Canis lupus familiaris: one gene and its partners. The protein of the gene in region 2 interacts with the protein of the main gene of each other region in a biochemical or structural test. Links are inferred from orthologs where the notes say so. Each region holds a gene or a part of one and is shown on either strand. Other genes may lie near its edges. The genes, in order: PML, EIF4E, EIF4EBP3, EIF4G3 and IPO8.

Region 1 (5,567 bases), on a different chromosome or scaffold from region 2:
GGGGCAAAAGAAATCAGTCCATTATAGCAAATGATACGGGAGCCCACATCCCACATCAGAGTGCTTGAGACCAAGGAGAGCCCCGGCTGGGGGTTCCGGTGCAGCACGTGGCTCCATCCCGTGCTGGGTTTCCCCTTCCTGCCCCCAGCACGGGTTTGGCCAGGCAGTTCCCGGGGTTCCCCCTGTGAGTGTGGTCCTGACCCCTCCTCTACCACACAGGAGGGAGAGAGCTTGTCCCTGGGAGGAAGGCATATCCCCGGCCTCCTCCTAATCTCACAGTCCAGGGTCTGGCTTCTCCAGAGTAGCTCTGCTCGAGGACGCACCCCGTCCAGCTGTGAGGGGTTCCCTTTCCTTCACTACACAGCTCACCGCAGGGCTCTGCTCATGGTCATCTCCTGGGCACACACGGAGCTGGAGCACCAACGGGGCAGGATTGGAGGCAGGAATAGCAGGCCAGGGTTCCTGGAGCCGAACGCCAGAGTCTGGGCCTCCCCTCTCCGAGGGACACTTCCCACATCACTTGTCACTTATTTTCAGCAAACTGTCCAGCGGATGCTTCACAGTAGAGAAAGGTGGTGTGGAGGGATAGAAAGGAGAGACAGTGACTAAAGAAAAGGGAACTTGGGGACACCTGGGTGGCTCAGTCGGTTGAGTGTCCGCCTTCAGCTCAGGTCATGATCCCAGGGTCCTGGGATGGAGCCCCACAGCTGGCTCCCTGCTCAGTGAGGAGCCTGCTTCTCCCTCTCCTTCTCTCTGCCACTGTCCCTTCTTAGGCTCTCTCCCCACCCCCTCTCTGTCAAATAAATAAATAAATAAATAAATAAATAAATAAATAAATAATAAATAAAGGAACTTGCATTTCAGAAACACTAGATTCAAACCCTGCCTTGGTCCAGGACCTTGGGGAATCAGATAGCTTCACCCCTTGTCCCTCTGACCCTTCTCTTAGGTTGGCAATAACCACGGGATGGTCCCTGTTTCTTTCTTTTAACGGTAATCTTTTTTTTTCTATTGTGGGAAAATTCATAGAGGGAAGTCGCCATCTGAACCATCTTAGAGAGTACAGTTGGGTGACCTCTAGCACCCTCAGTCTTGTACAGCCACCCCACCCAGCTGGGCCATTGCCCCGAAAGGAGACGTGGCCCTGTTCGCCTGGGGGGTGCCGTACAACGTGCGTTCTTCTCTGGCTGCCTTCATTTCATTTAGCGCAGCGTGCAAGGTTCATCCAGGCTGCACCTTCCTTCTTGTGGCCAAATAATGTCCCGACCAATGGCTGCGCCGCATTTTGTGTATCTACTCAGCACCTGATGGACCTTTTGGCCGCTGTGAATATTCGTGTGCAGGTTTCTGTTTGAACATGTTTCCAGTCCGTTGGGCCTGTGCCTGGGAGCAGAATTGTTGGCTCATTTGGAAATTCTGTGGTTAGCTTTTGGAGGAACTGCCCCTGCCTGCTTCCTTTTGACTTAGATGTAGGACACACTTCACCTGGTGCGACCAAAACAGTACTGACCGTTATCGGTGGTGGCACTTAGGAAGTGCCAGGTGCTCTTCTAAGCACGCTTCATCCACAGCGTCCCCTGAGACCGCTGGTACCGGTATTCCCGTTCTGCACAGGGGAACTGAGGCCGGAGTAGTTTTAAGTGATGTGTCCCGGGTGTGTACTGGCTTCTCTGGCCGCGTGGGATCAAGGCCCGGGGGCAGAGTGAGGGTCACGGCGAAGCTCCCAGGGAGGGTGTCCTCGCTGTTGGAACTCCGCACCTGGAGAGGATTGGCTTCCGTGGGGAGTGAGAGCTTTGTTTCTAGAGCTAGCTGTTGAGCAAGCTGTCAGGCCTTCTGGTCCGTGCGATACCAGAAGTCACTGGCTGGCTCTGGGCGAGAGCCAGCACCTCATGGGCCCGAGAAGGTGAGGTCCTGGAGGGTGCGAGGAGGAATTCCTGGTCCCTGGGCCGCCCCCAGGCCGGGGTTCTCATTTCCATCTGTTTCTAGACCCCACCGCCGGAGGAGATGCTGGAGAGTCCGGCGCAGGCCCCGCAGCTGACGGAGACCCACACTGGGGCTTTGGTACAGTCGGTGCCCGGGGTCCACCCGGTGCCGGTACACGCCTACTCCATCAGAGACCCGTCCTGCAGAGAGGTGAGCTTCCCTCCGCACCCCACCCAAGGCCCAGGTCCCACCCGGCAGGCGGGGCCGATTGGGGTGAGAATGCAGGCCTTTGTCAGCACCGACTCTGTTCTCTCCCTTGCTCCTGGGGGCCATGCTGCAAAGCCCCCCATAAGCACGAGCCGCTCCGGGGCGGGCAGAGGCCTGCAAAGGCGGTGGTCAGCGCACAGCCAGTGCGTGTGATGGCTCAGGGGGCACCCTGTGTGGAGAGAGACACGATCTGCACGGCGAGAGCGGGGGGACCGGGGTGAGGGAGGCCCACAGGCCCCTGCCACCCAGGTCTGCATCTCTGCCCACCGCCCCGGCACCCCCGAAGGCTGCTAACCTGGCCTCTGACTCCCTGCCGTGTAGGAGGTCTGCAACAAAGTCACTCCCCAGAAGAGGAAGTCCTGCCAAACTGAGTGCCCCAGGAAGGCCATCAAGATGGAGTCTGAGGAGGAGCGGGAGACTCGGTTGGCCCAGAGCTCCCCGGAGCAGCCCAGGCCCAGCACCTCCAAGGCGGTCTCGCCACCCCTGGATGGGCCCTCCAGCCCCGAAAGTCCCATCATGGGAAACGAGGTCTTTCTGCCCAACAGCAACCACTCAACCGGCGACCCTGGGGAGGCAGGTAGGGAGGCGGGCAGGCGGCAGAGGCCAAAGCCAGCGTGCTGTCCTCCAAGGCCTGGGTGGGACCCAGGGAGGCCAAAGGCAACATCGTCCCCCTTTTGTTGTGCCCTCAGCTGCCACCAGAGGGGAGAGGGGACACCCACGGTTTGCCAGAGGAGGGAGTGAGGATGGATACAAGTTACTGCGTGATGTACTGGGATTCCAGTGCGAGGAAGCCCGTGGTTCCGTAGCTCCTTCCCCCGACACACACAAGGGTGCATCTGTTGGTGGGTACCTAGCACGTGCCCAGAGAGACCTCGGGGAAAGTCCACACCTCTCACTTCCCAAATTTGTCTGCAAAGGTCACCTGCCTCAAGTGTGCCTCATTTGTCCTTCAATCTCTCTTAGGGACGCTGCCAGACAGGGAGTCCTGGGGCATGAGCTGAGGTCAACTAATAGAATTCTGGAATGGTCGAGACAGTTCTTTCTAGATCTGCTTCACCCAGAGGCCCCCTTTGTTTTCATTCTAGATCCCAGACTGAGCCCTGATCCTGCTTGCACACTGAGCCCTGACCGACATTCCTTGCTCACAATGCTATTGGTAATCAAAAGGTTTTGATTAACCAAATAAAGTATCTTCTAAGCCAAACATCTCAGCTCATGAGGCTGAGGGTTGGAGCAAACCAACGTGCTTCTTTCTCTAGGATTGCAAAAGTTCCAAAGCAGGTGCTGCTTGCCAAGTTGCCTGTATCGGGGAGCAAATTCCGATTTCAAGGCCAATAGCTAAATCGAGTATTCACGCACAGGGCACAGTAGGCAGTGACAGAAAGCCGTTTTGAATAAGCAGACCCTGATGGAAGGTCCCTCGTAAAGAGGGGTGTCAGGAACCAAGCTGAATAAACAGACCCAGACCAGCAGGCATGCCCGGGGAATATTCCCATCTCCCCCCGCTGCAGGGCACACGTCGTCTGCCCCATCCACTGGCCCTTCAGGGATTCCCACGGAGTGTATACCTGGGGCCCCACCCAGCGGGCGTCCCGGGAGGGCCTAATGCTGTCCCCCCTGCCTTGTTTCAGAGGAACGCGTCGTGGTGATCAGCAGCTCGGAAGACTCAGACGCTGAAAACTCGGTGAGTGGTCCAGAAGTTCGGCCCCGGACTCCTGCCTCCCCCCACTCCAGGTCCCAGGGGACACAGCCACAGCAGGTGACTCTCAGACTTGCCCTGCGCCTGGGGAGTTCTCCAGCGAGGCAGTGAGTTCCCCGCTGTCCTGAGGACAGCCTCCAAATGCCAGCTGCGGGCCCGGACCACCCCAGCCGTCCCCCCGTACCAGGGCAGGAGCCTTCAGTAACCATATGTACTCCTCCGAAATGCTGATAGAACGCTTCCTTCCAGCGCCCTGTCTCTTTGCTGGACTAGCCAATGCCTTTGTCTGGAGCTTCCTTACGCCTGGAGCTTCCTTATGTGTTCTCTAACCTCTAAGTCCTCAGCAAGGAGGGTGGATGAGAACCCATACCCCAGCTAACCGCAGCCAGCGAGGGTCAGCGCAGGGGCGCGAGGGTGTGGGCAGCAGTGCACAGGGCCCAATTAGGCCAGTTTTCACTCCGTAAGAGAGGACTTTAAAACCACCCCACGGTGGAGCGAGCACCGCTGTGGGCTGCCACCCTTCTGTCCCTGGAGGTTGGTTAACGGAGGCTGGGGAAAAGGGGATCCGAACAGAGTGAAAGGTTGGACTGGGTGGCCTCTGAGGTCCCTTCCAGCTCTCAGTCTGAGGTTCTGTGTTGGAAAGTGCACGGAGTCCACGGAGACCGCGACACCACATGCCTCGCCTGCCCACCCCCTGCCAAGAGCACAAGGAGCCTTCCGCCTCTGCTGGGCCTCCCGCCTGCCCCATGGCGCATGCCGCCCCCCGGCTCGGTCTTCCCACCACCCCGCCGCAGTCTCTGAGGCCGACTCTCCCAGCCAGCCTGCCCGCCACCAGGAGGAGGCTGCCGTCCGCCCCCGCCGCGGGACCGGCCCCCTGTCCCGTAGAGTGCAGAGAACCACCCGTCTTGGGCGTATCTTCCGCCTGCCCCTCAAAGTGTACTGTAAACCCATGTGGACTTACCCTGCCCCTGCAGTCCAGGCCACCACCCCTGCAGCCACAGGGCCTCCCGGCCATCCTGTCGGTGCCCGGGAGGGTCCCTGCTTCTTCCAGAGGGCCATGGGCCACCGACGCCGGGCACGCGGAGCAGTGCGCTCCCTCGGCTGCTCCCTCCGGGGCTCCCCCAACATAGCCCAGTGGCTCAACAACTTTTTTGCCCTTCCTTTCTCCGCTGTGGCTGCTCAGCTTGACACCTCTCTCAACAGTGGGAATGAAGGGGGACAGAGCGCCCCAGACTCTTAGGGCGGGAATCTCCCCCAGGGATTGACACAGCCCCCGGGGAGAACCCCCTCAGCCACTACGTGGTCCAGGTCCCACTGAACAGCTCTCCAGTTGCCTTGCCACCCCCTTGCCCTCCAGAGACGCCCCCCACCAGCCCAGCCGCCCTCAGACAGGCCTCAGAGTCCCTGGCACCTCCCTCTGCTCTAGCTGCTGGCCACCATCCTCTTGGAGCCTTGTGGCCACTCACTCAGCCCCTGCTGCCCGGGCTGCCTCCACCCCACTGTGTGGCCCAGCCCGGCCCATGCACCAAAGACCCTGCACGCCGTAGGCATTCAGTGCATTGTGGTCAAGGAGCAGACCGAGGAAGGAATGGCTGGATGGCTTCAGCAAGGACATGTAAGCCCTCTTCCCCTGAAAGGGCACGAGTGAGATTCAGGCTGCCGTTCCTCACACCCCCGG
Region 2 (4,550 bases):
TATCATCTTCCCCACCCACTGGGAAAAGACTTAAAATAAAACTGATTATGATTCTGAAATGGTAATAATAAGGATAATCAAATGCATATAAACCAGGTTTTTAAAAAATTTAGAATAATGTGTACATTTAATTCATTATTCCTCCTCCACTCCTGAAAGCTGATGCTTCTTAAAATGGACTGCATCTTAGAATTAGGAAAGAGCATTAATTTCTAATAGATATACTACTCCAATCCCACCCATTGCCAACACACCACAACCACCATCACTTATAAGCAGGCTCCTGAAGTGCTCACAAGTACACATATCAACACAGACAATAAATAACCTTAACCAATCACTCAAGCTTAAGCAGCAGATATTAGATATATTCTATTGAGATTATAAACACAAACAATTCAGTATTTTTAGAATACTGAACAAGAGGTGTTTGTGGTATTGAGAATACTTAGATGGTAGCCTATGGTACCCTTTAAACTGTTTTAAAGTTCTTCAATGAAATCAATACTATTAATTTCATATTTACTTATATAAGATTTTTGTCAAACAACAGTTTTTAAGTTAATTCATAATCATCATTTAAAGACAAATTTTCCTCTTATCTAAATTGATTTTCATTCTCTAAGTTGAGCTTACCCTTTTGTCTATAATAGCCATATTTCATTTTACTGCATCTGAAATACACAATTATCTATTATATACAAAGTTTTTCACATGTGCTTTCAAATGCCTAAAAAGAGATCAAGTTTTAAAATTTACATAAAACCATACTACACCAATTTACCAATATAAATATGTCTTCATACCTATTTATTCCATTCTATTTAGACAGCAATACTAACAAAATGTATAAGCTCCAACCACCTGTTCTCTTTCCCTATGCTATCATTGACACTTAGAAAACAACATCCAGTTAAGCAACCAAATTTTATAACTACCATTCCTACCAATCAAATGGTAATGCACCAAGATAACAATTCTCTTGAATTTTAACACATTAAGAGTACATTATTTACCTAAGACTGAAGGACTATGCCTTCTTGTATAAATAACAAAGATAGCCAAATCAATTTAATTCCATATATATGATGCTACCTATTCAATTTATTAAAAATTGTAATAAACATAATAATCAAACTAGTGCTCCAAACTTATGCTGTTCAGGTGAAGACACTACAAGAAGACACAATAGAGACTGCCTGGCAATAAGAAGTACAAATTCCTTCTATAGAGATGGAGAAATAAAAGGACAAATCTAGTTGTCTAAAAGACAATTCACTGTACACATTTTATTTACAGTTTTGTACACTGTCTTAATATGAATGGGACCGCTTTTCTACTTGAGCCATTTTTTTAACCAAAGCAAAATAACCTAAGTAATACAAAGTGTTAAAATACAGCATAAAGATACAAAAACAGACATACTAATTCTAATTAGGAATGTAATTATGATGTTACATTTTTTTTTATAATCCACAATTATGTTTAGGAAATCACACAAACATAGATCACTGATTTGAATGAAATGCATAAATTTGTACCAAAGCTTTGCAGTTACAAAAAAACAAAAAAAATTACCAAAGAATGCACAAAATTAATGTTTATTCCACCTTTGTGTCATATTCCTGGATCCTTCACCAATGTTACATGAGGAAAAAAACAAAAGCAAAACAAATGAAAAACTGAAATCAGAATCACTAATGTTATCAAGTAGGGAAACAAATAAATTAAAATCTAGCAGCCATCAGCAAGAGTACAGCAAAGACAATGCTGTAAAAAGAAACAAAGAAAATTGCTAGAAAACTGTATGCATCATACTCTTTCAAACCAGCAAAATATGCTCCTGCATACAATGGAACATAAACAGAATTTTTTTCCTGTAAGGTATAGAAATGGAAGTTCTTTTTTGAATATTGTGGATGGGCAAAATGTGTTTATATGGTAATTCTACTAAGCTATTACAGAGTGGGCCAGGAACACATTTATGGATTCTGGGGATGATGTGTACTGTTAATTCTTTGATTGGGATAGTGGACACTCTAGCCAAAAAAAAAAAAAAAATATGAACACAGAAGTACAAGACAAAGGTGAATGAGACTTCTCTTATATCTTAGCAACATTTAGATGGAAATCAAATTTAAATGCAGTCCACTCTGCTTTTGAAGAGGCTTTGGTTCAGCTCCCAAATCTCGATTGCTTGACGCAGTCTCCTATGAGAATACTCAGAAGGTGTCTTCTTAAACAACAAACCTATTTTTAGTAGTGGAGCCGCTCTTTGTAGCTGTGTCTGCATGGGACTGATAACCAATCACTATCTTTGGAGGAAGTCCTAACCTTTCCTTGTATACCCTCCTAGAAGAAGAAAAAGAAAAAAGGTAGTCATTAATTTTTATTCATATACACCAAATTTGGTATTCTTGTTCTTTACATAAAAAAAAAAAACAGAGTGTGAAATAGGAAATTGCACACCTTTTTCCTTTTAGCAAATCTGACTCATTTTCACAATCTTGGTTAAACACTTAACCAATATTTGAGACTCCACTATGTTATCAGGTACTACGTAATTACTAATAAATCAATAAGCAAAGCATGGACAGTCCCTGGGTATTTATAGTATTTGATTATTCACAAACAAATAATAAATACAGTGGAGCTGCATCACATGCATAACTCATTTATACAAAATTTATTGCCTATATAGGTCTACTTTAATTCTTTCATCTAAAATGCTACAATTAGGGCAGCCCAGGTGGCTCAGCGGTTTAGCACGGCCTTCAATCCAGGGCGTGATCCTGGAGACCTGGGATCGAGTCCCACGTTGGGCTCCCTGAATGGAGCCTGTTTCTCCCTCTGCTTGTGTCCCTGCCTCTCTGTGTCTCTCATGAGTAAATAAATAAAATCTTTTTTAAAAAATAAAATGAAATAAAATGCTACAATTATATTTTATATATAAACCATAATAAATATATTACTGCAAATCACATTTACCACACTTATTACTTTATGATATTTCCAGAGTAATTTAAAACATACATCATTTCTGCCTTCTATACTAACTCTGCAACCTAATTTTCAAATAACATGTGACTATTTTAAGAACAAACTATGACGAGTGCCAACGTGGGTAAGTACAGGGGCTGTGATATTGTATAACAAGGATGATCTAATCTTGTCTGTGAAATTAGAGAAATCTCCCCTTTAAAAGTCATGAGGTTAAAAGTAAAATGCTGAGAGAATGAAGCACATCTGAAGGCTGGGGAACTAAATAAGGCTGTGTGGCTACAGCTCATAAAGAAAGGGACTATGAGTTAAAAAGGTTAAATAAAACTGAGGCTAGATCACAGAGAGCATCACAGGTAAAGTTAGGGATTTGGACACTTATTCTAAAGAAAAGACAGCAAACCTTCAAAAATAAGCACCCAAATAAAATAAAAGACATACATTTATACATATTGGAGCTAAATTCTCCAATATGATACTAGGATAGTTTTATTCATACTCATACCTTCCAGAAGATTCTACTACCTTCCTACAAATAAAGTTTCTAAAAATAACTTTCTAACTAAAATAACCATTATCAGATTTATATGAGGATACAAAGTATTCCCTTCCATTACACTTAATCATAAAAATGCCAGAAAGCCAGAGCACTCAGCCATGTAACTTGGGTCAAAAAAAAAACAAAAACAAAACAAAACAAAAACAAAACAAAACAAAATAACCTCCATTAAAAAACTGAAGTCAAATATTTCACAAAGATTTCAATAATTTTAAATACTGACACAAATACTATATTTTCAGAGGAAAGAACTTCATACTTATTTTTTAAATTGTTTTTTTAATAATCAAAACTATTAAGTTTTGATGCTGAAAGGTTAAGAATATGATGACAAATCAACTTTTTTTTTTTTTTTTTTAGATTTTATTTATTTATTCATGAAAGAGAGAGAGAGAGAGAGGCAGAGACACAGGCAGAGGGAGAAGCAGGCTCCATGCAGGGAGCCTGATGTGGGACTTAATCCCGGGTCTCCAGGATCAGGCCCTGGGCTGAAGGCAGCACTAAACTGCTGAGCCATCCAGGCTGCCCTCAACTTCTCTTTTAGAAAAAACCTGGAAAATCTCCATTATCTTTTAATCTAGAAAGGAATTATGTTCATAGGAGAATTCATATTGTTTGAAAACAATCACGAAGGGCAAACCAAATATTTTGTGACCTATGACCAATACTTAATTTTAACACAAAATTAAAAGTCAAATATTACTAATTTAAAAGTAATAAAAAGAGGATCCCAGTTAATACTGATCAATGCTTGGGGGATAGGGAAATTCCAGGCAATTATTCACCATGCCCCAAATTTAAAAACTTACACATGTAGGTTTTTAAAATATGGACACAACTAAAATACTATCACTTAAATGTCCCTGAAAATTTTACACACATGTGCACAGAACAGACATTTAAAATATGGACAGAACTAAAATACTATCATTTAAATGTCAGTCACTGAAATTTTTACACACACGTATACAGAATATATACTATTTGCCAA
Region 3 (5,836 bases), on a different chromosome or scaffold from region 2:
ACTTTTTGGAGGCGTGCTTGGGGGTAGTTAGGTGGGTAGGATCATGACTGATTCACCAAGTAAGCTGCTAACTCATTCTGGGCCCTGAAGTCTTCTAACCCTCTTGAGGACAGGAGAGCCAAATGGAAGGGGTCATAGAGGCTTAAATTATGCTGAGAAGGGAGGATACAGGTTTTCAGTGTTGGAACAGGGGACGATACTTATGGGTGGAAGGCAGAAAAAGCATGGGAGGGACTGGAGAAGGTTAAACTCTAGGGCAGTGCCTCCTTTTCCTGATTTGGAATCAATAGGGAGGGACTGCTGGAGAGGCCCAATTCCAGGAAGGTTGCTTCCTGGAAAGGCTAGAACGGCCCTTGGCAAGGGTCAGGCTATTGCTATTGCTGTTTATGGCTTGGCAGCTCTTGTAGCCTGCCCCCATAACCTGCCTTTGGCTCTCACTGCTGCTGAAAGTGGACCTAATGACAGCTGGGAATGGACTGGGGGACCTCTGATCCTCACCAGGTCTGCTGGGGCCCTCAGCTTTGTGGCTGAGATGGGAAGGTCAGTATCAAGGAGAACACCAGAGTCAAAGCATTTCTTTGAATTTTTACTAAGCAGTTAGACAGTGACATACTCCATCCCTTAGTCCCAGCCTCAGCCCCTGATGATGGAGGGCTGGGCGTTGGGAGGAGCATCTACAGACGGAAGGGAAAGAGCTAAGGGCTTGGCAAGTTGCCCACTCGTATCCCTGGTCTAGTTGCCTCAGAACTAAGGGAGGCCCGACACCAAGTCACTCCCTTCCAGATTATGAGGCCACCTGGTGTTTGGAATACACCAGGAAGAGGTGATGGCAGCAGTGGTATGAGGGATTCCTCTAATTCCACACAGGATCATCTGCACTGGATTAGATGTCCATTTCAAATTGTGCGTCATCTGGAGAAAAAGAAGACAGGGACTGTTTGATGGGCTGAGGGTCTGCAAGCTCAGCAAATTTAGCATCAGTACAGAAACCCCTCTCACTGTTAAACCCTCACTCTACTGAACAGGGGCATTTGGACTCCAGTATTTCTTAATTTTAGGCCCTGCTTTCCTTACCGGGTATCTCTTCCTCTGTCTCCTGCTCCTTCAGCTCCTCCAGCTTGGAGGGTGGGGCTGTTGGAGGAGTTGTGACCCCGGGAATCTGAGGGAGGCAGCACGGCGGCGTCCGGGCAATGGGTGAATTTTTGCACTCCAGCAGGAACTTTCGGTCGTAGATGATCCTGGTGCCTGTCAAGGGGTAGGAACTAGGTAAGAGGCTGGAGCTTGGGTACAGAGCTTATAGGGTGTCATACCCAGGCTTTTAAGGGACCTGGAACTCACATTTCCCCATGTATTAAAGGGCTACTGCTCTGCAGACCGGCCAGGGTCTCAGCTGACTGGCCTTCAGAGCACTTAAAAGACTTCCAGGTCTAACCAAGATGTGGCTAAGTGCCATAAAGCAAGTAGGGCATCCCAGCTGGTCCAGGTATTTTGGTTTAGGGAAGCTTCAGGTCTCAGTTCTAAGGAGGAGCACAAAACTTGGGAGAACTCAGGTACTAAAGACTGCTCCTGTCTGGCTCTGCTGGATCTGGGGCTTCCCAATTCTGTAGGGTGGGGGGTCGTTAGCCCTTCAGGCAGTTGGCTCAAGAGGCCAAATAGCAGATTTCACCCTTGCTGCCATCTGGGTTTGGGTACCCGGCAAGGAGAAGGTGTGCTCTCTGGACAGCTGCTTTCTCGGTGAAACAGGGACAGACTGTTCTTACTTACCCTGACCCCTCCCAAGTCCTATCAGGCTAAGCCCAAGCCTAAGAAACTTGGCCCCGGTTCTGTTCTCAAAGGGCCCTACCCTGTTCTTGCCCCTCCCTTCTGCCTCCACGTGGCAGGAAACCTGGGTCCAAGAGCCCAGCAGCTCAAGATCCCAGGCAATCAGCCCAACCAAACAGCTGCCAGCCACCTGCAGATACTCAAGGCTTTTTGGCCCCAACTGCCTGAGTCCTGCTTTAGCCGCTTTGGGAGACCTGGTGCTTCCTGCTGAGGTCAAGCTCAGCTCGGGCTCTGGGTCCTAATGCCAGGCGGCAAAGTCGGGAGGGGCACCTAAAACCCAGGCCACAGTGGGGAGTTCAGTCCACAGTCACCCAGGAGCTAGGCTTTAGGCCACGGTGCATTTACTTCGAAGTTTCAGGGGACTGAACCGGCCTTCAGTTCCAAACACCCTCCCACCCCCTGCAAAAGCTACAGCCTGTAAAGGGGCCTGCGGCGAGGATCCCAGGCCTGCACCTCCCCTCTCCCAGCCCGCCACAGGACGCCCGCGCTGGGCCTGCCCAGGGCCCGCGGACCCCCAGCCCGGCCTGCTGACCTCCCGGGGTAGTGGCGTATAGCGTGCCCCCCGGCGTGGTGCTGTAGCAGTCGGGCAGCCGGTCCCTGCCTCCGGGGATCGGGCAGCTCGTGGATGTGGACATAGCGAGCAGGACGGCAGTCGGCAGGGGCGCCAGCCCAGGGCGCCCAGTGCAGCTAACTCAGAAGCAGACTCAGTGGACCACGTGCGCCGCAGCAACACCGGGATGACGTCACGCCCGGGGCGGGCCGCTAGCCGTCACTCAACCCGACGGTCCCGCCCCACTCCAGGCCGCCTGACTAGGGGAAGCTTGAAAGGAGTTCGGACCTCCGCACAGGCCTGCATCCTCCTGGCTCAACACTGGCCGCCTGACTCAGGGCTGTAGCCATTCAGCTATTTACTGGTTAAACCGGGTGCCAGGACCGGTAAGGCACAGCACACACTACTGCCCTGTGTTAATTCACCCATTTCTCTCAACAGTTTTGTACAGTAAAGCACTATTATTAGCCACATTTGACAGGTGAGGAAAGGAAAGCCCAGATTAAGTCCCTGGTTGAGAGTTCTATCTTATAGGAGGGGGAGCTGGGAGTCAGACCTGAGAGTATCTGATGCCAGGACCTGTGCCCTTCCTTACAGCTGGGGACTGCCTCCCATTAATCAATTACAGTACAGGGTAAAAAGTGGCCCTATGGCCTGGTGCACAGCAGGAAGGGGAAGGTCAGAGAGGGATGGTAGCCTTTTTAGCAGAAGTGATATAGCTAACTAACTTTAAGAAACTAAGGAAAGGCAGGGGGCTGGTGAGAAGGGCTTGGTCTTTAGCTCTCTGGAAAGGAAGATCAGAGAGTCTGGCCTTAGAGGATTTTTTTGATGTAGTCACAGTGATATGAAAGGAGGCAGGAGAAGGGTGGTGGAGAAGAAAGTACTAAACCTAGTACCTACACATACTAAACACCTTGATTTGGTCAAGGGGTCTTCATTTCCTTAAAATCAGTATTACGATTCACCCCCCAATTAAGTACAGACCACTGGATTTCATGCATTTAACAATATTAATGTTACTTCAGTTCTGGCTTCATCATATTTTCCCTTAGCTTTGATTTCTCCACTCACTAAAAAAAAAAAAAAAAAAGTGTTTTACTACTCAATGCTTCTCAAACTTTAATGTGCATAAAAATCACCTTGGATATGTTGTAAATGAAGATTTTGATATAGTAAGTTTGGGGTAGGACCTGAGCTTCTAGGTCCCAGGTGATACAGTCCCTCAGCTCTGTAGGTCCTTAGAGTAACACTTCAGGTAACAAGGATATTTATATTTTATTGTTCCAAAATATTTTTGAACATCTTACAAAGTTATGTATGCCTAAAAGAAGGGTCTTGATTGACACTGCTGGAGGGTAAGGTTTGGGAGCAGACTGTGAGGAGCTGTCTATCACAACTCAGTTTTTTTAAAAAATATTTATTTATTTATTTATGATAGACATAGAGAGAGAGAGAGAGAGAGAGAGAGGCAGAGGAGGAGGGAGAAGCAGGCTTCATGCCGGGAGCCCGACGCGGGACTCGATCCCGGGACTCCAGGATCGTGCCCTGGGCCAAAGGCAGGCGCCAAACCACTGAGCCACCCAGGGATCCCCCACAACTCAGTTTTTGAGGTAAGTCTTGTGGGGGTAGTGAGGAATAGGATAGAGGACCATGAGACTGAAGGTGAGGATTCTAGCCTAGTGAAACGGGGTAGACAGAAGGGCAGTGGTTATGAGGATGGAGAGAAGTTGTCAGGATCCCCATACACAGAGGGGGAAAGATAAGGTGACTGATTAAGGGTGAGGTGAGAGAGAAGGAGTTAAGCTAGGATAATTTCCAGTCTTCTGACTTAAAAGTCTTGGTGGTAGCAGCAGCCCCTAATAAAGTGGGGAAAATAAGAGAAGCCTATCTTAAAAAAAAAAAAAAAAAAAAAGAGAGAGAGAGAGAGAAGCCTGTCTTATATTGGGAAATATATAACGTGTGGAATGCTGAGATGGAACAGCATGGCAAGGAGTTAGATCTATGGGTCTGAAGCTCAGGGGGAGAAATCTAGGCTAGTGACTGAGATCTGGGTGGAGTGAAATCCAAGAGTGTGGGATGAGATCACTGGGATAGAAGATACAGCCTAAGAAGAGGCCTGAGCACATCAACATTTATTTAAGGGGTAGTGGAGGAAGAGGATTCACCAAAGGAGGCTGAGAAGTGTCCAGAGTTTTCAAGAAGGATCAGTGTGGAAGTGAGGTCACTCTTATGTTCATCTCTACTACACAATGACAGCAGCAGTTACCACTACTATGTACGGCTACTAGAAGCTTGTTTTGAGGTGCTGTGTGTGCTCTAAAGGCTAGGGAACAAGAGATAGATCATTGGCCTTAGAGAGAAAGCCAGATACATCATGCATGCAATTTGGATGAAGGACCAAGAGTTTAGAGGCTCAACACTGATTACCCATTAGAATATGTGAGCTTGATACAGACAAGCACAAGAAAAAGAAAAACAGAAAAATAGAAAAACAAAAAACAAAAAATCTATGCCTAGGCTCCAACCCCAGGGAACTGATTAAGCCCTTAAGGGAATATCAGGTCTCTGCTACCAAACTACTTTGGACTTAGACCAATACCATGAAGATAAAGCAGGAGATAAAAGTAATCAAAACAGGTTTGGCAGTCTGGTGTTGAGACTGCTGATCCTATTTTCCAAATTAGGACTTAGAGCCCAGTCTTCTGCTCTTTATTGGATGTGGTCTTAATGCACATAAATTCTGGATACTTAAAACTATCTTTCTCTCATTCACTTGCTACAGAATAAAGTAAAGGTGAAGAATGTCTGATGACAAATGGTGACAAATCTTTAAAGATGAATAGAAAATATGGGGTTTTCAGAGCCCCTCATTCCAGGACAGGGTCCACTGGAAAGACGTCACAACCAGCAACACTTCTTGGTAGAAGAGATCTAGGGCTAGTTAGAGAACAAGATGTTCAGAAGCTGTTTTCCTACAGGCTTATTTGCTACTTCCTGGGTTTTCAATGTGGTCCAAAGGTCTTGAACAGTGGGACAGAATCAAGTTTACTAACTACTCCTTTTTGTTTGGCTTGAAACTATAATATGACCAGCCTTTCCCCTTCTACAAGCCACCTCAAACTGAGGATGGTTCCCTTATGGGCTAACTTTGAAGATGGGAAGAGGATTTGGCCAGAAGCTACAGGAAGAGTTGAAAATTGTAGTTCCAAGTCTTGAGATTTCTTACCTCTGGTTAGGAGAGGCCACCATTGGCTGTCCAACTCTCTTCTTCGGTCTGGTTAGCTGAGGTGATGGGATTTCCCCTTTGAGAGCAGGGACTGAAGGAAGGAGACTGGCCTATAAAAAGGCAAGTCAGCACACTGTAGCCACAATAGGTTTAAAGGGACTTAAACATCAATAATTTTATTGGTGGTGGAATTTTATTACACTACTACTTGAAATAAATGGGTCCAGAAACCTCGATGA
Region 4 (5,994 bases), on a different chromosome or scaffold from region 2:
CAGGAAAAGTTTCCTATTAGCTCAAATTATTACTCCTAAAGTAAAAATAGATTGTATCTCATCACAAGAGTTTATTCCAGAACTTACTTTCCCTCATCCTCATAATGAACTAACTGTATCATCAAACAGAGCAAGCCACCATCTGGCTGGCCATAGCAACCTTATTTTATGGTCTCAAGCCATGCCACGATCTTCACTACCCAAGTCATAGAGGCATTTCAGTCTGTTTGACTAAATCTAACATTAATAAGCCAAAACCCAGAAGCCTCTTATACAATCAAGTTGCCTTCCCCATGATCCATGTTAGTATGCTTCTAATGTCACTGAGCATCAGACAAAGAATACATTAATAAGTGTCTATAAGGGAATGCCTGGGTGGCTCAGCGGTTGAGTGTCTGTCTTCGGCTCAAGGCGTGATCCCAGAGTCCAGGGACTGAGTCCCACATCAGGCTCCCTGTAGGGAGCCTACTTCTCCCTCTGCCTCTCTCTGTCTCTCAAGAATAAATAAATAAAATCTTTAACAAAAGAAAGAAAAGAAAACTCCAATGTGGAAGAAAAAAAAAACATATCAGTCCTTCGGTGGTTTAACCTCAGTTTGACAGAAAAGACCTCACTTGAAGACCTAGAAGCCTAGGACAAGGAATAGCAGCAGCAGCAGTGATTCAGGTACCTGAGTAGCATTCTTCCTTCCTAATCTTCATCTTCCATCAGTCTCCCCATCTCCTTCCTAGAAGAGGATCTACCCTTAAGAACACACATTCATTTCTGTTGATGGTGGGGCATAGGAGTGGAGAGACTGCTGGCCGCTTCATGAGCTACAGAGTTCTAGCTGCTAGTTACAACAGTATTTTGCTAGAGGCCTTGCTAACTTCTGAACAAGCAGAAACATGCACTGAATCAAATGGTGCAGGCCTATTCTAATGCTTTAAGAGTCAATGAGGTAAAGATAACATACATGTCTTGCAATATGTGGCTGAGAACTAATTAAAACAAGATACAGTATCATAATATTCTAAATAACTCCACAGAGCCTCTGTACCGCATAAAGACCTTACCCTAACTACCTCCCACTCTCATATGCCAACTTGGTAAGAAATAAGTAACGAGGCAGGGACGCCTGGATGGCTCAGCAGTTGAGCCTCTGCCTTTGGCCTTTGGCTCAGGGCATGATCCCGGAGTCCCGGGATAGAGTCTCACATTGGGCTTCCTTTTTTTGTTTTTGTTTTTTTTTAATTTTATTTATTCATTCATAGACAGAAAGAGAGAGAGGCAGAGACACAGGCAGAGGGAGAGGCAAGCTCCATGCAGGGAGCCCGATGTGGAACTCGATCCCGGGTCTCCAGGATCATGCCCTGGGCCGAAGGCAGGCGTCAAACCGCTGAGCCACCCAGGGATCCCCATCACATAGGGCTTCCTGCATGGAGCCTGCTTCTCCCTCTCCCTGTGTCTCTGCCTCTCTCTCTCTCTGTCTCCCATGAAGAAATTAATAAAATCTTTAAAAACAAAGAAGTAACAAGGCATAGTAGAAAGGACATTCATGAGCTTTGGAGCCAATCATACCACGGTCTGAGCTGTGGACCACCACTTACTAGATGGACAACCTTGGGAACATTACTTCTCTACTCTTCAGTTTCCTCATCTGTAAAATATAAACAGTACCTACCTTATTAGGATTCTTGTGAAAACTAAGAAAAAAAAAACTAAATAAAATCATGCATGTATGGTACTAGAACAGTAGGCACTCAATAATGAATACTATTAACATTATGCAGATTTAGCTTTGGTCAAGAGGCAAAAAAGAGGGAAATAAATGTTATGGCTTCAACCTATAAAACTGAAAATCAACCTAGAAAACAAAAAAAAGAATTAAATACAAAAAAACCCTCAATTGGCATATTTGTTTTTAATATATCATATCCAAGACAAAATAGCTGAGGACACAGGTCATTTTCCTGTTGCCACAGGCCTTTACCAAATTTAGTTCCTTCAAAGAACCCACTGCCCTGATTTTAACCAAACTGGCTGCCCCAAAACAGTAACTAGACTCCCCAGAAGTGTCAGCAGCTCGGAGAGAAATTACACCCTGAAGTCTTGCCATATAAATAGAACACTGTGTATTCATAACAGACTGCAAAATTGCTCTAAGTCAGAACTATTTGGGCACCTAAATTCAAACTAATTTATCTTTAATTAATCTGAAAGGTAAGCAATTTCCATCTAAAGGGCTAGGCTTTTAACGGGGGCCCAAGAACCCTCTGAAAATGTAAGCAACGATTTTCTGTGGAGAGGGTCTAAAAGCTTTCATCAAAATGTCAAAGTTATTTGTTACCCAGAAAAGGTTAAGAATCACTTTTAAAATGCTCAGAGCTTCAGAAGCTCATACTGGGAAGCTGGGGAGAGCATATCTCAAGGCAAGTATCTTGAAGTGCCAATTTCATAAACTATTCATATTGGATTACGTTATAAAAACTCTAAGCATATTCCTCCCTCACAGTAGCACTTTTCACAGTAGGGTTTATCCTCTTTCATCCCCCACCATCCCTGCCACCCTCCATCATGTCCCATTCCTTGCCAGGCCCCATTCTCGGTCTCTTTGCAGTCAAAGGCCTCTACCTGAAACTGAAATGGCTTTATGGGCCCGCCATGCAATAATGATGCTTAGACATAGGTTCCGCTTTATATTTCAATTTATTATTGCCAACATTCTCCATTTCTAATTTGTCACTTGAACACAAAGTACAAACCAAAAACACTGTCAGGTGACTCTCCTTCCAATATTTTCATAAAGTTAAAAAGCTATATGAATTTATTAATTCAATTCAAACACAATTGTACCCATATATTTTGAGGAACCGGAGATTTAACCAAGCCATAGAAAAAAGCAACTCCAGTCTTGCACCTCAGTTTCAAAGCTTCATGTGTATCAACTAATCACATGATGACTACTTTCATCAAACAAATGCCAATTCCCACACTCCTTCTGGGTAGAAAAGCAGAAATTGCTCTGTTTCAATCCATCTTAACCTATTCCCCACTACCACTCGTAACATTTCATCATATTAGTATGTTCTAATGAAATCTGTAACCTATACCTTATTAACTACCAAACCTTTAGATTTCACTAATTGAAACCTCAGTGAGTGAAGCATTAAGATAACAGAATTGTGAAATACATTAAGAATTTTAATCTATTCTATGACATGAGACCATGTAAAATCTTAAAGCCACATAAAACCAACTATCCCACATTACTACAAATGGGTGTAAGTATCATTGCCACCGGAAATTACACCTTAAATGTATGCCCTTTAACAACTGTTGCAGTACTGGTAACTACTTCTGTGTTGCAACCAACTCAGAGCTTGTAGAAGTCCTTCCTTTGTGAAATGCATTGAGAAAAAGCACACGTGAACACTTAAATCACAGCTCTGCGTCCAAATAAAGCTCCAAGCACTTGGTGAAGCACTGGTCACTTACCACTTTGTACATCAAGCACAGATGCTATGGGCTTCCTTTCAATGCTTAATTGCCAAAATAGCTCCAAGATACAAGTAATGAAGAATTTACTTGGTGGCACAGTATATAAACTTACGGCCCTAACCAAGTATGGGCAATCAAGACCAAAAAAAAAAAGACTGAAATTAGAAAGGAACTCAAACTCACAAAGCATTAAGTGAAGACATGTTTAAGAGATCCAGCAGTGACCTCCACCTGTAAGTAGGCAAATCAGCCAACCCTTTTTTCCCCCCAAAGTAAAGCAACTAGGGATCTAGATCAACACTAACCAGCTTTTTCCATGAGCAACACTAAGGTATCATTAAGCATTCTCATCCGTGAAAAAGAATCATGCAGGATAAAAACATTATGAAATCAGTACACACATCACACTGGAATGGAATTTATCTTTACTCTGCACCACACTGCCTGGATTGAATAACAATATTTAAAGAACAGAGAAAATGACACTTGAAAGAAACCAAAAGGGTGACCTGAAATGACTCTAGAAGGGAGATACCTTTCCCTTCTCAAAGTAATCGATACAGACAGGAATCAAACTACAGACTGTGAAATCATCCGTGGACTTCACGGCAATTATTTGCTCCAACACCCTACTCTCTCTGGAAGTCAAACACAAAATGACACAAATACAAAAACACAACACATCTAACAGCCAATGGTTATTTATTGATTTACACAAATACAACGGATGGGGGAGGGAAAGGTGCATGACGAAACGTTATTCTCAGGTAGGTAATACTTTCTAAATCTCCGTGGAATTCATGAATTCAACGTTTTACCTTCACCGGCTAGTTTCTGACTAAAATACCTCGTGATCAAGTCTTTTCAATCAAAGCTGTCCAAAAATTCTACAATCGAGCAAATAACATGAAATTAGATACATTCAATACCAGACTGTCCTCCAGAAGCCCTGATCCCCTCTAGACATCAGGCCTAAGAAGAGGAAATTAAAGCCTTTGAAAATATCCGTAACAGAAGCCTTCCAAGAAGTGAGACTTTTGGGGGTGATGGGTAATGTCAGTTAACTTCCTCTTCCTTTAAAAAGGTCAAAGACAGGGAAGCGTCCGGTGTAACATTTCCTCCTCAGATCGCGTTCCACCACAAACCACATCACAACTCCCCCCCACCCCCCCGCATCGCTAAACAACATTAGCCAGAGAGAGGGGGGTGCTTTTCGTACATTTTCACGGTAGATTTAAAATCCGACTTACCTCAAAAACGAACTGAGCTTACTTTCAGACAGGAAATCTACCCATAAAGTTTATTATGTACTAATAATAACAATTAGGGAAGACCACCAGGCCCCGCTGCAGGGGGAGCAGGAGAGAGAGGAGCAGGAGGAGGGTGTAGTCCTCACAACAGAGAAAAGCCTTCCCTGCAGGGCTGGTCCCAGGCACCAGCAAATTCGGCCTAATAAAGGGGGGCGGGGGGAGGCCAGGAGGTGGGGGGAAGGGTCCCCCAGCTCTAAAAGGGAAGGGCTGCAGAGGCCAGGCCGAACCGAGCTAGTTTTCACAGTACTGCAGAGGGTCCCGGGGTCCCCCGCGGGGCTGCGGCCGCCGAGGCACCCCGAAAGCTCCGGCCGAGCCGGCTGCGGGGGCTCAGGCAGCAGCCCCTTCCCCGACTGGGCTGTGGCGGCCGGCAGGAGGGTCCCCGGGGAGCCGGCCCACCCCCCCCCCATCCCCCCACCCCCACTCCCGGGGCTGCGGCGAGAAGCCGAAAGGCCGGCAGGAAGGTGAAAAGGATACTGTTGGGGCGCCTGGGTCTGGAGGGCCCTGATGTTCGGGTGAGGAGGGGCCGCTGCCGCCGCCGCCGCCGCCGCTGCCGCCGCCGCTGCTGCTGCCGCCGGGTGAGGAGGCGGTACCGCTGCTGCCGCCGCCGCCGCCGCTCCGGTGCCGGGTCCGGTTCCTGCTGCAGCCGCTGAGCCTGATTTCAGAGCCGGTTTCTGCGGTAAACTCATGGCAAAGCGAAGCCACCAACCCCCCCAGAGCGGGACCGGGCGCGCCGGGGTGCAGGGGCCGGGGGCAGCGGGGGGGCGGGATGGGGGCAGACCCGGGGAGGCGGCGGGAGCGGGGGGCCGGGGGGAGGCTGGGAGGAGGAGGAGGAGGGGGCCGGGGCCGGTCACACACGCCCGCCGCCGCCGCCGCCGCCGCCGCCGGCAGCAGCAGCCGCCCCGCGGGCCAGCACCACCGGCTGCCGGTCTCCGTGACAACGCGACCCCAGGGGGGGGGGCCGGACCCGGCGGGGGCAGGAGGCGGAGAGACCGGACCTTTCACGGCAATATCCTCATGGGCCGGCGGCGGGGGGTCTTTATCCCCCTCCCCGGGGGAAGCGGCGCCCTTCTCGGTAGCGGGGCTCAGGCGATGCCGGCGGATTTTCTTCACTCAACGAGCAGAGCATCCAACATGGCGCTGCGGCCGCCTCCAGCAGTCCGGCAGGACGGCCGCTCGGAAAACTTCGGGCCTTTTCGGAGCGGCT
Region 5 (6,053 bases), on a different chromosome or scaffold from region 2:
AAAGACAAGAGTTCTGAGAAGCACCAGTGTTTAAGAGTTGGGCGATCAAGCGAGCCATCAAAATATTATGAATATATTCCTTATAAGGAAACGTTTTGTAAAAAGAACATGTAATACAGTGCCAGATACAAGAGAAAGACATTTTTAGCATTTAGTATCTAAAGGATCAGAGTTGATTTTTGCTTGGCAGTTTCAGTGAGGGAAACAAGGGCAGAAGACTATGGATAGCTGATTGAAGTATGAGTAGGAAGTAAGGAGAGAAGGAATGAAGACCATTCTTTGGAATGAAAGGTGAAAAAGAAGGAAGAATAATTAGCATTATTGGAGAAAGATTGTTTTTTAACTGGGGGAAACGTTTTTAGGCTGAGGTTGAGTCAGTGGGGAGAAAGGGGTTGAAAATACAAGAAAAAGTATTACAAACTAGTCAACTGTGAGCATAGAATTGTACCCAAAATTTATTTTAATGAAAAATACATAGAGAAGAGATTAAGCAAGGTCCCAGAAGAGATAGGAGAGGACTGGTTTCAGATTGGATGTAAGGAAGTGAGGACTGGTAAGCAGAGATTTGTTTGAGTGAGTTGAGCCTGATGACTTTGTTCATCTTTGCATGGTTCTAGGAGACAGGTAAAGAGTTTGAGAAGAGTCTCGAGGGTTGGGACAGTTGCTGGGAGAACGGAAGATGGTGCTGATTAAAGAAGGAACGGGATTGTTGATCCTGAGAAAAGAACACACATTTGTACTGGTGTCAATTTGTACAGTGGGTCAAGGGGTAGACAAGTTGAATTGGGGGTTCAGTAGCAGAGAAGGATGTGTTTCGGGAATGGGGAAACTAAGAACTAAAAAGGTAATTGAGTTGGAAAACAGGTGTAGAATTATTGAGGGAGAGCGAATGGAGGAATAGGTCTTAATTTGAAAAGAGGATATTGGGGTTAATATTTCAGAAGTCAAGGAGCTTTAGATTATCACGAGGCCCAAGAAAGGAGGTTAATGAAGTAGTGTGGGGATGAAAGTACTACGTTTCCTAAGACCCTGGAGTGCTAAGGAGTTTTTATTTTATCTTGAAATTGATGGGAAATCATCAAGGAAGGGACATGACAGTGTCAACCCTTAAACACTCTGATGTCAGCGTGGAGAATGGACTAAAGGGGGAACACGGAGCCGTTGCCAACCCCTGTGCCATTGAATTTATTGTCATAGTGGGTGGAAATTGTATACTCCTGGCCTTTCACTCTTTTTCTTAGAAGGTACAGACCTGTTTCAGAAAACTTCAGGCACATGGTTTCTCTGATCTCTTTATTTTCACACTTACTCTGTAAACATTTGTACGTTTGTCTCTTCTATCAGCTTGTAAGTTCCTTCATAAAAACCTCCATCTCGACCATCTTGTTGAGATGTGGTACCTACATATATCTCAATACTCTGCTCCAAAACATGTTTGACAAATGTTCAGGGAATGAATGAATGAATGAATGAATGATGGCTCCCAGGGACCAAGGGAATCCTGCCCTCCCTCGCGTGGGCTAGGTGATCTTTAGGTCCCAACAAGTGTGCCCTTGCACAGGTTCGTACTCACAAAGTGCCGCTCCATCTGTACATGCTTAATTAGGAAGTAGCTGTAAAGAGACCTGGAGCCTGCTGGTTTCCTCATCTGGGAAGCCGCGGAGGCTGTTTTCCGTAAGGCGGCATGGTGGCCTCCTGCCCAAGCCCGGGAGCGCCGTTTCTCTCCCGGGAAGAGGCCGGCGCTGTTTTCCGTACAGCATCATGGGGGCCGCCAGCGGGAGCGGCCATGGCGCCCCGCCCCGGGGAAGGGCCCGCCGTAAAGGAAGCGCCGCTTCCTCTTCTCGCTTCTCCCGCCTCCCACCGGCTGTCGTAAAAGGGTGAATGGAGAGCGAGTTGTGGGGGGTAGAAAGGGAGGACAGGGGGCGCGGAGTCAGAGTGGCGCAGCAAGTGGCTGCAGGTGGCGACGGTGGCGGGGGGCGGGGAGTGAGGTAGTGCAGGGGGCGCGAAGGAGGAGGCTGCGAGGGTCAAAAGGAAAACTGAAGCTGCAGTCTGGCCTACTGGTCCGGGGGCCGCGGAGCCCCCGCCCGGGGAGATGGACCTCAACCGGATCATCCAGGCGCTGAAGGGCACCATCGACCCGAAGCTGCGGATTGCCGCCGAGAATGAGCTCAACCAGGTGAGGCGCGGGCCGGCGCCCCCCCCCCCCCCCCCCCCCCCCCGGCCCCCGCGCGCGCTCCGGGCTCGGCGCCCCGGGTCTCCACCCGGCCGGTGCCCCGGACCCTGCGGCCGCCGCGGCCCGCCCCGCCCCCGGCCCGCACCCCGCCCCCACCCTCCGCGCCCCGCCCCGCCCCCACCCGCCCCCGCCCGCCCCCGCCCCCGCCCCCGCCCGGGCCGGCTTGGCGCCGCTCCTGCGATCTTTCTTCGGCCAGCACCTCGCGCACCTGTTGGCCACCTTTGCATCTTTTGGTCCCGCGTTCCCGCACAGCGCGGGTGGCGCGGCTCGCCCGGCCGCGGCGAGGGGCTCCGGGCGGCTTTGCTAGGAGCGCAGGCAGGGTGGGATTTCCCCAGGGACGCCGATTTGGGGGACGGCGGGAACGCTCACTCACAATTCGGAGTTCTGCTTTCCTCCAGACCCAGCCTTTTTTTTTTTTTTTTTTTAATTTAAAAAAATTTTTTTTAATTTAAGGTGTTGCGGTGGGAAACCCTGCCCATCGCCTGCTCCCGTGGGGTTGGCAGGACTGTTGGTGGACACTGATTGGCAGAGTTTTGCTGGAGCGCCGGGAAGCGCCGCCGGGACGGTGCAGGGGGAAGAGGAGGCAGTTTTCATGGTGCTACGATTTTACAATAGGCACATCTAGGAATAGGCATCTGGAGGGATTTCTTTCTCTCTCTCTCTCTTTTTTTTTTAAGATTTTATTTATTCATGAGAGACACACAGAGAGAGGCAGAGACACAGGCTGTGTGTGTGTGAGTGAGAAAGAGCCAGATGAGGGACTCGACCCCAGCACCCCAGGATCACGACCTGAGCCAAAGGCCGAGGCCCAACCACTGAGCCACCCAGGCATCCCTGGAAGAGATTCTTTATAAGCGCTGAAATGTGTAAGACTTTTTTTTATTTTATTTTAAAGATTTTATTTATTCATGAGAAACACACACACAGAGGGAGAGAGGCAGAGACACAGAGGGAGAAGCAGGCTCCATGCAGGGAACCTGATGTGGGACTCGAACCCAGGTCTCCAGGATCACGCCCTGGGCTGAACGTGGCGCCTAAACCACTGGGCCACCAGGACTGCCCAAGACTTTCTTTTATCTTCTGTCCTCTCTTCTTACTAGCCCTGACCCTGTTCCAGCCTTACCACCAACAATTTGAGAGTGTAATGATCCCCCAAATTAGCTTATGATTTTCATCCTCACCTATAAAATGAATGATAGACCTCTCATTAAAAAAAGTATGGGGACGCCTGGGTGGCTCAGCGGTTGAGCATCTGCCTTGGGCCTAGGGCATGATCCTGCGGTCCCAGGATCCGAGCCCCACATCAGGCTCCCTTCGAAGAGCCTGCTTCTCCCTCTGCCTGTGTCTCTGCCTCTCTCTGTGTGTCTCTCATGAATACATAAATAAAATCTTACAAAAAATAAAATAAAATAAAAGTTATGAATTAAGGTCTACTCCCCAGGGTAGAGTGACAGCTGGTTGAGGTTTTCCTTAAAATGTAAAGGAATATACCCTAAATGAGTGGTTTTCAAAGTATTGCCTAGGATGAGCAGCATCAACATCACCTGGGAACTTGCTGGAAACGGAAATTGCTGGGCTTCCAGGTTAGAGAATTAGAAACTCTGGGGGGTGGGCCCCGATTATGTTTTAATTAGCTAGGTAGGTGATTGGGTGCTTCCTCAAGTGTGAGAGCAGCTGTCTCAAGTAAAAGTTTCTGCCAGAGTTCACTAAGGTTTTCCCTGGTTGGAGTTGACTTTAAAGTGCAGTTGTGCATTTTAAATCTTTGAAATCCAGTGGGAGATCTGGATGGTGTTTGGAGTAAGTGTGAATTCAGGATTCCCAAGAGATAAAAGGGAGAGTGAAAACACTGGAGAGGTTGAGTTAAACTGAAGCATAAAGAGAATGTGCTGTTACCTCAAAAAGAAAAGGACTCTCGCTCAGAATAGGGGAAAGTTAAAGTGAGTACCTGTTCCAGGCTTTGCAGAGCAGAGGTACTATATGTCGATTGGCTAGAAGAACAGTAACCCAGGGATTGGTTAGAAGGAACAAAGCAAGAGCTGAAGTTGCAGTCTATTAGTATGAACAGGGGAGTTGGCCTGCTGGTGACCCCCTTCTCTTCACAATGAGGCCAGATGTTATTTTGCTAGTGTCAGGAGGGATCATATCTTTGATATCATGTTATACTTTCCTGCCTCCGTTAGCCTGTCCTTGCTTTGTTTCTGATTCATCAGCGTATAAGTGCAGTTGACTGTATAGAAGGGGAAGGGTTGATGGGAAAGCCTGCAGAACTAGAAGAGACGTTCGGGACCCAATTCTACATTTTCTTTCTTTGTGGTATTTCAGTTCACATCTATTTCATCCAAACTCTTGCCCTGTCCCATATCCACCCGTTTCATCCCGGGCTGTAATTTCCTCTGTAACTTGTAAAAGGAGCTTATTGCTATGCCACTCTTTTAGCATTCATATTTTGTATAATGCTTTTAATTGTAATATGCTCTAAGTATTTTTTTTTGAATTATCTGTAAGTAGAAGACAAGTATACCGCAACATAACCTTGTAGTAAAATATGATTATAATGTTGGGTTTTGTGTGCTTATTTTTTATCATTGCTGTAATATCCGGCTTTGTTGGATAAATGGGTGGGTAATCTACCATAAGTGATTAGGGTCCAGCTCATGTATTTTAGTCTAGGTCCCCCCACAGCACATATGCTCTGTGTAAGAAGTAGGAGCAGCTTCTGCAGTGTACTGATGATTTGTCAATTGCCATGTAGGAGAGTAGGCAGTTTCAAAACATAACAGCCTCTGTTCTGAAGGATAAATTCTTGTTTGGAGCTATGTTTTTCTGTAACCAACATATTTTTGTTACCAGTGACTGGTTCCTTGATTGCTCTGTGTGATATTGTTTCTGTGGGAAAACATATTTTCATTTTTTTCTTCTTCTTCTTCTTCTTCTTCTTTTTTTCTTTTTAAAGATTATTTATTTTAGAGAGAAAGAGAGCTTGTGAGCGTGTGGAGGGGCAGAGAGAGAGAGAAACTTCAGCAGACATGGGGATCAATCTCATGACCCTAAGATCACGACCTGAGTTGGAAGCTTAATTGACTGAGCCACTTAGGGGTCCTGGGACAACATATTTTCAGTTTTATCTTAGGATGTTAAGAATGCATCCTGTGCACAATCTTCCTTGTCTCTGGGCCCAGAGCAGCAAAGGGAAGTAGGAATGGGTAGATATCTTGCTCTAGTAACTCATCCACAAAGGTACGTTCTTTTAATAAAGCATTCTCCACATGGCCTCAATAGGGAAATAAAAAGAATTACTTTCTTGCCGAGCTTTGGAACCCCTGCTTCCATACATCTGTCTCTATTATTATTATTTTTTAAAGATTTATTTATTCATGAGAGAGAGAGAGAGAGATTGAGGGGGGTGGGCAGAGACACAGGCAGAGGGAGAAGCAGGCTCCATGCAGGGAGCCCCATGTGGGACTCGATCCTGTGACTCCAGGATCATGCCCTGGGTGTGAAGGCAAGTGCTCAACTGCTGAGCCACCCAACCATCCCTGTCTATATTATTTTTATCGCCCTTTAAGAGAGTTTGCTTATGTGAATAACATATTTATTGAGTTATAATGCAGACACTAACACAAGGCTCAGCTTTCACAGAGCTTGCATTCTTGTTGGGGATCCAGACAAGTAAACGATAAAATACCAGGTCATAAGTGCTATAGATGGTAAAGTCCTGGAGAGACAGTGTTGGGGGTAGAAATAGTGTAGTCATTCTCTGAAGGGTGATATTGAGCAGAGACCTAGATGTTGTGAAGGAGTGAACCAGGTGAAGAACTGG

The links.
Region 1: the proteins of EIF4E (region 2) and PML form a complex in vitro, tested with the Homo sapiens proteins (4 studies listed by BioGRID and IntAct). The link is inferred for Canis lupus familiaris from reciprocal best matches to the Homo sapiens genes EIF4E and PML.
Region 3: the proteins of EIF4E (region 2) and EIF4EBP3 form a complex in vitro, tested with the Homo sapiens proteins (2 studies listed by IntAct, with this or other methods). The link is inferred for Canis lupus familiaris from reciprocal best matches to the Homo sapiens genes EIF4E and EIF4EBP3.
Region 4: the proteins of EIF4E (region 2) and EIF4G3 form a complex in vitro, tested with the Homo sapiens proteins (3 studies listed by BioGRID and IntAct, with this or other methods). The link is inferred for Canis lupus familiaris from reciprocal best matches to the Homo sapiens genes EIF4E and EIF4G3.
Region 5: the proteins of EIF4E (region 2) and IPO8 form a complex in vitro, tested with the Homo sapiens proteins (2 studies listed by BioGRID and IntAct, with this or other methods). The link is inferred for Canis lupus familiaris from reciprocal best matches to the Homo sapiens genes EIF4E and IPO8.

The regions. Positions count from the first base shown.
Region 1 is NC_049251.1:37,703,653-37,709,219, forward strand, and holds part of PML (protein PML), read left to right. Parts: intron 1-1,986; coding exon 1,987-2,133; intron 2,134-2,511; coding exon 2,512-2,767; intron 2,768-2,879; coding exon 2,880-3,032; intron 3,033-3,821; coding exon 3,822-3,874; coding exon of another isoform or gene 3,875-3,949; intron 3,950-4,503; coding exon of another isoform or gene 4,504-4,515; exon of another isoform or gene 4,516-4,532; coding exon of another isoform or gene 4,533-5,129; exon of another isoform or gene 5,130-5,567.
Region 2 is NC_049253.1:18,849,632-18,854,181, reverse strand, and holds the end of EIF4E (eukaryotic translation initiation factor 4E), read right to left. Parts: intron 2,353-4,550; coding exon 2,238-2,352; 3' UTR 1,257-2,237; downstream 1-1,256. UniProt on the Homo sapiens protein: Acts in the cytoplasm to initiate and regulate protein synthesis and is required in the nucleus for export of a subset of mRNAs from the nucleus to the cytoplasm which promotes processes such as RNA capping, processing and splicing.
Region 3 is NC_049223.1:34,867,222-34,873,057, reverse strand, and holds EIF4EBP3 (eukaryotic translation initiation factor 4E-binding protein 3), read right to left. Parts: upstream 2,513-5,836; 5' UTR 2,457-2,512; coding exon 2,354-2,456; intron 1,246-2,353; coding exon 1,075-1,245; intron 913-1,074; coding exon 884-912; 3' UTR 574-883; downstream 1-573. UniProt on the Homo sapiens protein: Repressor of translation initiation that regulates EIF4E activity by preventing its assembly into the eIF4F complex: the hypophosphorylated form competes with EIF4G1/EIF4G3 and strongly binds to EIF4E, leading to repression of translation.
Region 4 is NC_049223.1:77,219,298-77,225,291, reverse strand, and holds the start of EIF4G3 (eukaryotic translation initiation factor 4 gamma 3), read right to left. Parts: upstream 3,847-5,994; 5' UTR 3,832-3,846; coding exon 3,786-3,831; intron 3,699-3,785; exon of another isoform or gene 3,684-3,698; coding exon of another isoform or gene 3,664-3,683; intron 1,640-3,663; exon of another isoform or gene 1,590-1,639; intron 1-1,589. UniProt on the Homo sapiens protein: Component of the protein complex eIF4F, which is involved in the recognition of the mRNA cap, ATP-dependent unwinding of 5'-terminal secondary structure and recruitment of mRNA to the ribosome. Functional homolog of EIF4G1.
Region 5 is NC_049248.1:28,997,674-29,003,726, reverse strand, and holds the start of IPO8 (importin-8), read left to right. Parts: upstream 1-1,872; 5' UTR 1,873-2,092; coding exon 2,093-2,176; intron 2,177-6,053. UniProt on the Homo sapiens protein: Involved in nuclear protein import, either by acting as autonomous nuclear transport receptor or as an adapter-like protein in association with the importin-beta subunit KPNB1.